3 linked regions of the Astyanax mexicanus genome follow. The protein of the gene in region 1 purifies or fractionates together with the protein of each later gene. This does not show direct contact. Links are inferred from orthologs where the notes say so. Each region holds a gene or a part of one and is shown in the gene's direction. Other genes may lie near its edges. The genes, in order: rabggtb, rap2c and ptp4a2b.

Evidence for each region.
Region 2: the proteins of rabggtb (region 1) and rap2c purify together in Homo sapiens (co-immunoprecipitation; 3 studies listed by BioGRID and IntAct, counting the BioPlex papers as one, with this or other methods). This does not show direct contact. The link is inferred for Astyanax mexicanus from reciprocal best matches to the Homo sapiens genes RABGGTB and RAP2C.
Region 3: the proteins of rabggtb (region 1) and ptp4a2b purify together in Homo sapiens (affinity purification with mass spectrometry; 3 studies listed by BioGRID and IntAct, counting the BioPlex papers as one, with this or other methods). This does not show direct contact. The link is inferred for Astyanax mexicanus from reciprocal best matches to the Homo sapiens genes RABGGTB and PTP4A2.

Annotation. Positions count from the first base shown.
Region 1 is NC_064425.1:41,699,578-41,703,330, forward strand, and holds the start of rabggtb (geranylgeranyl transferase type-2 subunit beta), read left to right. Parts: upstream 1-878; 5' UTR 879-941; coding exon 942-944; intron 945-2,197; coding exon 2,198-2,305; intron 2,306-3,423; coding exon 3,424-3,621; intron 3,622-3,753. UniProt on the Homo sapiens protein: Catalyzes the transfer of a geranylgeranyl moiety from geranylgeranyl diphosphate to both cysteines of Rab proteins with the C-terminal sequence -XXCC, -XCXC and -CCXX, such as RAB1A, RAB3A, RAB5A and RAB7A.
Region 2 is NC_064417.1:46,106,459-46,110,211, forward strand, and holds the start of rap2c (ras-related protein Rap-2c), read left to right. Parts: upstream 1-1,421; 5' UTR 1,422-2,568; coding exon 2,569-2,841; intron 2,842-3,753. UniProt on the Homo sapiens protein: Small GTP-binding protein which cycles between a GDP-bound inactive and a GTP-bound active form. May play a role in cytoskeletal rearrangements and regulate cell spreading through activation of the effector TNIK.
Region 3 is NC_064410.1:46,853,456-46,857,208, forward strand, and holds the start of ptp4a2b (protein tyrosine phosphatase type IVA 2), read left to right. Parts: upstream 1-967; 5' UTR 968-1,083; intron 1,084-3,753.

The DNA of each region.
Region 1 (3,753 bases):
CAAGTTCTGAAGTGGCCAGCAATGAGTCCAAATCTAAATCCCACTGAACACTTTGTGGAGAGATCTTAAATTTGATGTTGGGAGAAGAAACCCTTCAAATATAAGATGTTTGTTGAAGGTTATAGTAACAGATTGAGTTACTTCTACTACAGAGTAAGTACGGAGCTTAATGAACAATTCACAAACTTTTACTGTGTTCTGTGTCTTTAGTACTTTATGTATCTCTTAAGCATGTGAAATAGATAATATGTAATACATACATATTTTTGCCACATTAATATAGTCACTAAAGTAAAAATAATATTTAGTGGAAAAAATACAAAAAATATATACAGCTCTAGAAAAAAATGAGACCACTTAAAAATAAAGTTTTTTTTTTACTTTACCAAATTGAAAACATCTGGAATATAAACAGGAGGAAGATGGATGATCACAAGCCATCAAACCAAGCTGAACTGCTTGAATCTTTGCACCAGGAGTGGCATGAAGTTATCCAAAAGCAGCGTGCAAGATTGGTGAAGGAGAACATGCCAAAATGCATGAAAATTGTGATTAAAAACCAGGGTTATTTAAAAAAAATATTGATTTCTGAACTCTTAAATCTTTATGAATATGAACTTGTTTTATTTGCAGTATTTGAGGTCTGAAAGCTCTGCATCTTTTTTGTTATTTCAGCCATTTCTCATTTTCTGCGGATAAATGCTCTAAATAAAAATATTTTTGTTTGGACTTTGGAAGAAATGTTGTCCCTAGTTTATAGAATAAAATAACAGTATTCATTTACTCAAACATATACCTATAAATATACCTATTTTTTTCAGAGCTGTATATTTAGAGAATCGCAAAATGTGTAATTTGAAAATGACCCATCAGAGCCTCTGTAGTGACGTGTCTGTCCAGTGTGGGCATAGCTTTAGCATTAGCATTAGCTGTGGAGCAGGATGGTGAGTGACTCTGTGTGTATTATTATGCGTTTGTAAGCTGTTATTAAGATCGTTTTAGTCAGGTTTGAGTTGTCAGTGTTTATCAGTGTGTTAGGTGTGTTAATATTGGTACATTAAGTTAATCCTGTAAGTAAAACAACACAAATTCAGACAGCGCCGTGTTTGAATTTTCCGTTCCACCTTAAATGCTACTGCAGTTATAGTAGTAACGCTTTGGCAGCCCTAAGTGAACTTCTGCGGCATTTAAGGTGGAATGGAAAAAATGAATAAAACTTGAAAATAGCTCGATATCTAGCGTTAAAATATATTGTTTAAAGAAATGTAGAGGTTTCTAATAAAGAGTTCTATGAGTAGAAATATGAGGTTGATGTTACTAAAAGGTTTAGAAGTATGAGGTAAATAAGAGTAATTGTTTTTGGACAGAAAACTAATATACAGCCCTAGAAAAAAGGAGGAGACCACTTCAGTTCCTGAATCAGTTATTCTGATTTTGCCATTTATAGGTTTACGTTTGAGTAAAATGAACATTGTTGTTTTATTCGATAAACTACGGATAAAATATTTCCCAAATTCAAAATAAAAATATCATCATTTAGAGCATTTATTTGCAGAAAATGAGAAATGGCTGAAATAACAAGAAAGATGCAGAGCTTTCAGACCTCAAATAATGCAAAGAAAACAAGTTCATATTCATAAAGTTTTAAGAGTTAAGAAATCAGTATTTGGTGGAATATCCCTGTTTTTTAACCACAGTTTTCTTGTATTGTGGCATGTTCTCCTTCACCAGTCTTACACACTGCTTTTGGATAACATTATGCCATTCCTGATGCATGATATATTGCACTCATTCCTGATGCATGATGCTGCATCACTTCAGTCGTCTCTCTTCTTAACCTTCGTAGCTGTGTTCTCTGCCTGATGCATGTTAATAATTTTACCCATCTGAAAGATTAACATCCTTTCCACAACCACAGGATGCGTCTTTCCACATGGTTGTTTAACAAATGAGAAGCTACTCATTGCGTCACTGCTTACATAATCATGTATTCAGAAATGCTCCAATGGGAGGCTCTTTTTTTACTTAGTTAAATGCAGGTGGTGACTTTTTTTTATAGCCAGGCACATTTTTGCACTCTACTTTGGGATTGTCACTTCATTTTGTTGTACTTTGTTCTTCGACAATAATGATCTCTTCTGTCTTTCTGTCTGTATGAATGTAAATACATTTTTTTGTCTTATCTTTTGTCTTACAGGGGACTCAGATTAAAGACGTGGTCATCAAGTCTGATGCCCCCAATACTCTCTTTCTGGATAAGCATGCTGATTATATAGCTGCCTATGGCTCCAAAAAAGATGATTACGTAAGTTTTTGCAGCAAGATGTAATGTAACTGAACGCTTACATCTGATGAAATGTATAAAATGTTTATAGAAGTGGCATTTTTGGAGGCAAACGTTAGAAAAAAAATCCCAGCTTAATAACTCAAGAATGCCTCAACACGCCAGCAAAAAACATATGTATGGCTAGAAAGAGATAAAAAGAAATCCTACAGTTTCTAAAAACTGCAGCGCCCTCACTCTCTAAGAATCCGTGATTGATCCATTGTGAAAAACACTTAATAATGCATGTGTCTTTAAAGTTTCGTTCAGAGTAATTTTCTGTGACTCATTTACTCAGTTTTAATGTGTTCTGAAGTGTAATCCAGTGTCTGAGCCTCTGAGCTCTATGTTGTCTTTTTGTTTCTACCTTTTTCTAGCCATACATATGGTTTTTGCTGGTGTGTTGAGACATTCTTGAGTTATTAAGCTGGGAATTTTTTTTCTAATGTTTGCCCCCAAAAAATGCATCTTCTATAAACATTTTTTACATTTCTTCAGCTGTTTTTTTTTTACACAACGTCACAACCTGATATCAATGCAATTGTTAATCGATTGTTTCACCTTAAAGCATCCAATCAACACACAAATCACATTATATTTTAAATGCCTTAATTACCCGATTTCTCTGCTTTTAAATGATCAACTGAATTAAAACACAGATCAGTGACTCGGTTCTTTTCTTGAACTTTAATTCCAAACTTCACTAAGTGTTTTTTTTTGTTGTTTTTATTAGGTTTTTTTTTTTAGATATTTTCTTGCTCTCATCTCAGACAGCACACAGTCAAACCTAATTATTAAACAAATTCCATAAATATTATGTTCTTACATCATGTTTTTAATGATCAACTGAATTAAAACACAGATCAGTGACTCGGTTCATTTCTTGAACTCCAAACTTCACTAAGTTTTTTTTTTGTTGTTTTTATTAGTTTTTTTTTTAGATATTTTCTTGCTCTCATCTCAGACAGCTCACAGTCAAACCTAATTATTAAACAAATTCCATAAATGTTATGTTCTTACAGTAGGAGGCTAAAGTACCTAACAATTCATGTAAGGTAACCTCTAATAGACTGATAGTGTTGTTCCCCTCTGCTCTGCAGGAATACACTCTGTCGGAGTATTTGAGGATGAGTGGGATTTACTGGGGTCTGACTGTGATGGATCTGATGGGTCAGCTCCACCGTATGAACCGAGAGGAGATCGTCGACTTCATCAAATCCTGCCAGCATGACTGCGGAGGGATCAGCGCCAGCATCGGCCACGACCCGCACCTGCTGTACACACTCAGCGCCGTGCAGGTCACACAGTCTACAGCTCTCAGATCAGTCTAACAGCCAGAACACTAATGATCAGTTACAATGTGTTGGCTTATAATTTGTTTGTTCAGAGATTTGGGAGAATAGTTTATTATCACAGCCATAAATATCAGA
Region 2 (3,753 bases), on another chromosome or scaffold:
CTGTGTTGAGTGTCATTGCAAAATAAATTAAACAATTGTCATTTTTTATTGCACACAGAAAACATTTTTGATCTTGTATAGTTGTATATATATCGATATTTACAATATTTTGCCAATCCTTTATAGGCTATAGGTAGTGTTTTTACAACTGAGCGAACTAGTCAAGTTGAGTGCATTTATTTTCACTGAGTATGTTACGAAAATAACAAATTAAAAGTCTGATAAAAATACATAACATGTCTATCTAGCCTATAAAGTAACGTAACATTACACGTTCTGTCGTATGAAGTAAATTATTTTGATTAAAATAAAATTGCAAATATCTGCAAAGAGATATAGGCCGATCAACAGTGCCATCTGCTGGACTGAGAAAATAAAGCAGCCATGTTTTTGCCCTACCTGTTAACAACGATGTGACCACTGGTTGGGATCTGTTTCTTTAATTCTATATTGATGTAACTGTTAATATGGCTGTACATTAGATCAGAAGTTCTAATACTAAATTTTAAATTCTTTAGAAAACTGCTTCACCGTACCCCACACCAAACCCAGACTTGTCTTGTTGCCAAACAGAAAAGCATGATTCTTCACCCCAGCCAACACTTTCCAGCCGTGATGTCCTTTACTTTTGCTTTTGTTGGAATCTATTTCGTAAAGCTCTCTATTAACTGTTCTTGAGATAATCTGAAGACTACATGAAGTTTGGAGGTGTGTAGCAATTGAGTTGGCACTATGTCCCTCTGGATCCGCTGACCATGCTCGTTCATTTCATGTGGTTTACCACTTAGTTTCTGATTTGCTTTCATTTACAAATTCTTCCACTTTGTTATAATATACTATAATATTCTACAATAGTTTGTAGAAACGGTCTGCATAAATGGGTGATTGGTTTTATACCCATGTGGCCATGGAAGTGATTGGAACACCAAAATGGGATAATCGATATTGTACATCTTCACTGAAATACAGAAATACAAGAAGGTTATGTTCGCACATAAATCATGCTGTTTTAAATATTTTATTTAAACTGAAGTTCAAGTCAAGTAGTTTTATTTTCAATACTGCATATGTTACAGCAAAAAAAAAACATAAAGCGATAGTTGACTAAAGTACAGAATAATAATTTATAAATAATAAAAGAATGAGAGACACTATGAGAGACATTGTACAATACAAGGTCATAGATATAGACATGTAAGTTGTTATGTAAGAACCAAAAAAGTCCAAAAGTCGCTCAAATGTTTAAAAAATAATGAGATTGACTATTTTATTAATTACAATAAATGATTATACTGTATAGACTATATATAAGTGAATTCCTCTGCCCTGCTCCAGATCTCGCCTACCAGTCGCGTCGGCCAATCACGAGCGCCTCTTGTCGGCCAGCCAATCAGGGATTTTGCTAAGCTCTGAACATTTTTACAAAAGAAAAGTAGCAGCCATGTCTTAACAGCGGGGCTGCGGCGCGGAGTCTCGGCCTGAACAGCAGTGATTTTCCTGTTATAGATGAAAAGCGGGTCGTTGAAGTTCGGATCGGACCCGATGGGCTTTCCGCCCGACATCCGCTGGTCAGTGTGAGGCGATCGGAGCGAGCTGGCCGGCTTGCTGAGGCTCTCAGAGCGGGAGAGGGAGAGGCCGGGCAGGCAGAGGAGGAGAAGGAGGAGGTGGAGGAGGAGAAGAAGGGAGGGAGGAGTGCGGGTTTTGTGTTGGGCGCTAACACACACACAGACAGACAGACAACAGAAAAGGGGCTCGCTTTAAAACCCCCGAACCTGTTGATTAACCAGGCTAAAGGAAGAACCGGCGGCACCGAGATCTGCAGAGCCGGACACCAGAAGAGGAGTTCGGGCTAGCGGGGACTTGCGCGGGTCTGGACAGGGTTTGTGGGGCCGGGAGCGGCGAGTCGGTCAGTGGGGCGGAGGAGCGAAGCAGAGCAGAGCGGAGCCGGGGGGGTGATAGATAGCTAGTAGCTTAGCATAGTTTAGCCTAACCTAACTGCTAACGATATTTTTCCCATGTAACTAGCTAGGTTTGATAAGCTATCACAGCAAAATGGCAGCAACACTATCACTGACAGTATTTATTTAACTAACTAGTTAGCATTTTGGCGAGCTTGTTAACAGCTAGAGTTGTTGGTTAGCTAATTTGAAGTTAGCCAAGATAGTTTTTAGCTGTATTATTTAGCTAGTTAGCTTACTAGCTAGCTACAATTAGCTAGCTGCCATGAGTCTTTTCTATGGAGTTTGGGCGTTTAGTGTTTAGCTAACTAGCTAGCTAGCTAGGTTAGCCAGCCGGCCTTAGCTAATGCTAGTTAGCTAACCTAAGCTAGCCAAGTCATTGCAAAACATATATAAAACCGCTAACTCAGAAGGAAAATACGATTTTAACTGATTAATCCAATAAAAAATAAAAATTTATTCCAGCTACCCGTCAAAAGTGTCTGTCTGCTTGATGTTGGGGAGCAGTTAGCCAGCCAGCTAGCCTAGCTAAAAGTTCGCCTGCTAGCCACCCAGCCAGCCATAGGTTGGGCTTAGTGTTTGGCTAAGCTAATCTAACGCCCGATCCCAAATGAAGGAGTATAAGGTGGTGGTGTTGGGCAGCGGCGGCGTCGGCAAGTCCGCGCTGACCGTGCAGTTTGTCACCGGGACATTCATAGAGAAATATGACCCAACGATCGAGGACTTTTATCGGAAGGAGATCGAGGTGGACTCGTCTCCGTCAGTGCTGGAGATCCTGGATACCGCCGGGACCGAGCAGTTCGCCTCCATGCGAGATCTGTACATCAAGAACGGCCAAGGCTTCATCCTGGTTTACAGCCTCGTCAATCAGCAGTCGTTTCAGGTGGGCTCCTGTCAACGTTGTGCTCAAGTTTGGAAAAACAGTGGGTTATCTGACCTGTATGCCTGAACAGATGGGGTGTGGGCAATTGATAATACAGCTCTGGGAAAAAAACTGTTTCTTTGCTTTTACGTTAAAAACCTCTGGAATATAATCAAGAAGATGGATGATCACAAGCCATCAAACCAAATTGAACTGCTTAAATTTTTGCACCAGGAGTGGCATAAAGTTATCCAAAGCAGTGTGTAAGACTGGTGGTGGAGAACATGCCAGGATGCATGAAAATTGTGATAAAAAACAGGGTTATTCCACCAAACATTGATTTCTAAAGCTGTGCTTATTTTTTGTTATTTCAGCCATTTCTTATTTTCTGCAAATACTGCTCTAAATGACAATATTTCTATTTGGAAGAAATGTTGTTCCTAGTTCTACTCAAACATATACCTATAAATAGCAAAATCAGAGAAACTAATTTAGAAATTGCAGTGGTATCTTAATTTTTTCCAAAGGTTAGATTAATAAGTGTCTGTTGTTTTTATGAAGGTTATCTTCTTTCTATGCCACACCATCTATATTTTCTATAGCCCCAAAGAGTGGTGTTCCTTCCAGTAAAGAAAACTGAAAAATGGTGTTGTAGCTAGATAAAAGGTTTTCCTACAGGGGGGGGGGCCTACATAATAAAGCTCAGAATTGGGTAGCTAGGTGGTCCTCTGATGCAGAAGAAATGTTATTCAGTGCCAAAAATTCCTACTAGGGCTCATACTAAAGATTATTTTGGTTGTCAACTAACTTAATGTGTGTGTACAGCTCATGTTCCTAGCGGTCTCTATTGATTTAAAACAACAGAATTGGCTCAATTTCGATGGCTATTTAAATATGTAGTAATAATAATTAGTAAGAAGAAATGTAATGCTG
Region 3 (3,753 bases), on another chromosome or scaffold:
GGGGGGTTGGAATAAGTTGGGGGTTTGGGATGAGGTAGGGTGTTTGGGATAAATTGGGGGTTGGGAATAAATTGGGGGTTTGGGATGATGTAGGGTGTTTGGGATGATGTAGGGTGTTTGGGATAAATTGGGGGTTTGGAATAAATTGGGGTGATTGGAATAAGGTGTGATATGTTTGGTGTTTAGGATAAGGTGGAGTGTTTGGGATAGGTTGCATGGCTTGGGATAAATTGGGGTGTTTGGGATGAGGTAGGGTGTTTGTGATAAATTTGGAGGATTGGGATAAATTGGAGTGTTTGGGATGAGGTGGCTCTTGTCACTAATTTTAATCCCCACAGCAATTCTTCAACATCTAGAAAATTTGGTAGAAGGCCTTCTCTGGACAGTAGAGATTGTTGTTTCAAAGGATGAAAATCCTTTTTTTCTAAATGTATTGAAATGTAAATTTGATCATATTATATATTAATAAAATAAATAAAATGCAGTGTTTACTCTAGTTCATTTTCATGGATTCAGGTGGCTAAAATATTTTTACAGTTGGACAGAATAAATGAACAGTTCTAATAACATTATGCTTTTTATATCAACTAAGCAGAATAAGCCACTGCTTTTGCAGGAAAAACAGTAAATGAGCAATTCAAAAAGAGATTTTACCTTTAATTTTCACAACATCAGGTGTATTTGTGTTAGTGCTTGGCCTGGTATACTTCAGTTCTTTAGTTGCATAGGCCCTACAATTGAATTCACAAGTTTCTGTATTAGTAATAATACCAAAATACATTTCCTTTTAATATTTTATTTTTTATTTATAACGTTTTGGTTTGTTCATGGGTGGTTTGAGAACCACTGGGTTAGAAAATGCTAGAATAGTCGATAGATTCATTTGGCAAGTGTGAGTCGGTTCGACTCATTGAAAAGAACCGATTCAAATCTAAGCTTCAGTCTCGAGTCCGGAGGTCGCTACGAGAAACTCACTTTTCAGTGTGAAGTGTGAAGAGGAAGGAGAGCCTGCAGAGCGGTTACCGACTCCGATCCACTTTCTCCGGCGATTCTCACGGGATTTCAATGTTCAGCCTGTTTTTTGTAAGTAGCTGTGACTCATTACTCACAGGATAATATGTTTGAAAAGTGTTTAAAGGCTGTTAATGTTTTTTTCTTTGATAAAGGCAAACTGTTGTTCAGGAGCCTTTGTGGCTAGTGGCTAAGTTAGCTAGCGTTAGCTAAGAGCTAGCCTAGGTTAGCCAGCTCGTATTAACAGTTAGTGTTGTCTATTATAGCCGGACAGCTAAAGTGCCTGAAGAAAGCCAGGCGGGTCAGCTTGCTAGCTTGCTTGCTAGGTTAGCTAAGATAGCTTAGCACACTAGCTAACATAGCTTGCTAATGCTGAAATGTGGCAGCCATTTGCGCGAGCACGACACGTTTTGGAAGCGGCAGATATTAATCTAAGTTAGCTGACGGTCCATTTAACCTGTTTTTTGAGTAAATAATGACTGTAGTTTGTTATAAATAAGATGACAGTGTGGTGTTTTCATGCTGAACTCGTTTATTAATGTCTCTCTTTGCCGTTTAGTCACAGCATTTAATCTGGCTAGTTTAGGTGGTTACCTAGCTAATGTTTAGGAGAGGTGTCATCAATCCAGATCCAGGAAACGAAAATCCACCCCCGGTATTTTGCTCTAACTGCCTGTACGGCTTTTGTGTTGCTGCTGCCTAGCGGTTCGCAAGGCAGTTGGAGCAAAATCACGGAATGGATTTTTACTTTCTAAACCTTGATATATGCTGGAATGTGACAGTATATCCACTTTCTTTACAAATAGTGTTTTATTTAATTTAGTTGATGTTTTTTTTTATTTATGATGATTTAAAATTGATTCTATTCCAATTCTAGTGTCTGAGTGAGATAGTGGATCATAGCCAGATAGTTAATTGTAATGTGTACATTTATAACTATAGTAGCTATAGTAGCTAGCTATTATGTTATCAGTAACTTTGCCAGTGGCATGAAATGTCTTAATATTACAGTTATTAAATATAATCAAAAATAGGTTATTGTGACAGACACATGGGTGGATTTTGAGTTTCTGGACCTGGATTGACCAACGTTGCTTTTTAGCTAGCTTATAGCGACCTAACCATGCGTTCTGGTGTTGGCTAGAAAATAGCTGGAGATACTGGCTTGTATACTTGTGTGTACGGATTAAATTGGAGTATTTTCCAGTTCTCGATCACGTTTTCGAGGTTAAAACATCTAGTAAGTCCGTGTGAACGACTGTGACATCGCAGCAGCCGGTTAATAACGTTATTTCCAGCTAGCGCTGGCTAGTGCTTGCTAAATAGCTAGCTTCAGCTAACTTGGCTTACTGAATCAGATGGCTTGTGTCCTCACCCTGTTGTTCGCAGACATACTAACTAACTAGCTTAAGTAACGTTAGTTAAATTAGCTTGAGTGAACCTAACTCTGGCTGCCTGTTAAGTTAACTGATTTGCTAGGAAAACTGTCAATGTTTCTGAAATTAGAAGAATTCACTAGTCGTCCAAACAGCAGGCTACCTAGAGAAACGAAGCTAGCTAAGATAAGGTGTGTAGAGAAACAAACATCACGATGTTCTTCCTCCGTCTCCTCTCTTCTTTTTGGCTTAACTCAATAGTTAGCTATGCGGGAACACCCGAACAGCGCCCAATTTCCCTCGGTCTTCTTTCATCCTCGGGAACACAAATTGCGAACAAGTGTTGAGGACAGACATGCCCGGGCATGAACAAGGGCTTATTGCTATTAATGAAGAGCTGAAGCACAAGATAAGGCCTTGAATACAACACATCTAACAGCTATGTTATTTATAACGGGGTTATAAAGGTAAAATGTGATTAGGTTTGATAGGTTTTGGCTAAGGATACTAGACCAGCTAGGTACAGTTGAACACCAGCGAACTTAAAAGTTCTCCATACAGATAATAAAGGTTAGCCTTCCACTGTTTGGTTAATCAGAATGATTATAATTGCATTGCTCCTTAAAAAGTTATTTGTAAATGTATTATTACACTATTATATTATCATTATATCAGTGGCAAGAAATATCCGCAAAAGCAAAAGTATCTAAATATGATTTTTCTGCCTTGATAGTACTGGGCCTTTGCATAATGCATTGTCCTGGTATTAACAGAAAGTGTTTTGTTAACCTACTTATTTGTGGGCACATTGCACTGTGTTTTGTGTGGTTTGAGTCATTGGGACGGGGTTGTGAAATTGGCAAATGAATATCCCAGGCCCAAATGCCAGGTGGCCTATGTAGGTGTATTCTATGTAGGTGTCTTGCTGGACACTGTTTTTGGGTAGCTAAAGATATGTTTTATCCAGGCAGGAACTAAAGCAATACAAAACACGTGTATGTGAAAAGTACTGGGCTCTGTCTTTTTCCTGATATGTTCTTTAAAGTTTCCATTTCTTCTGTTTCTTGTAGTCTGGTGTTTGGCTTCTATGGGTTTTTGTTACCTCTTTTTTTTCTTTTCTTTTTCTTCAGCCTGACCAGTCGTTCGGGGTGTATTTACATTTTGCTTTGGTGGTGCAACTGGAAATACAGTATAACTGGAAAGAAAACAACAAAACATAACACTGTGGAACAGCAAAATCTACTTAAACATTTACTCTTGTCTTTGGGGTTTTTGCTCACCTGATTGTATTTAGTAAGAGGCTAGAAATGTTAACCTGGCAACACTCTCTCAACCCATGTGCGCTGAGGTTCACTATTAATTTATT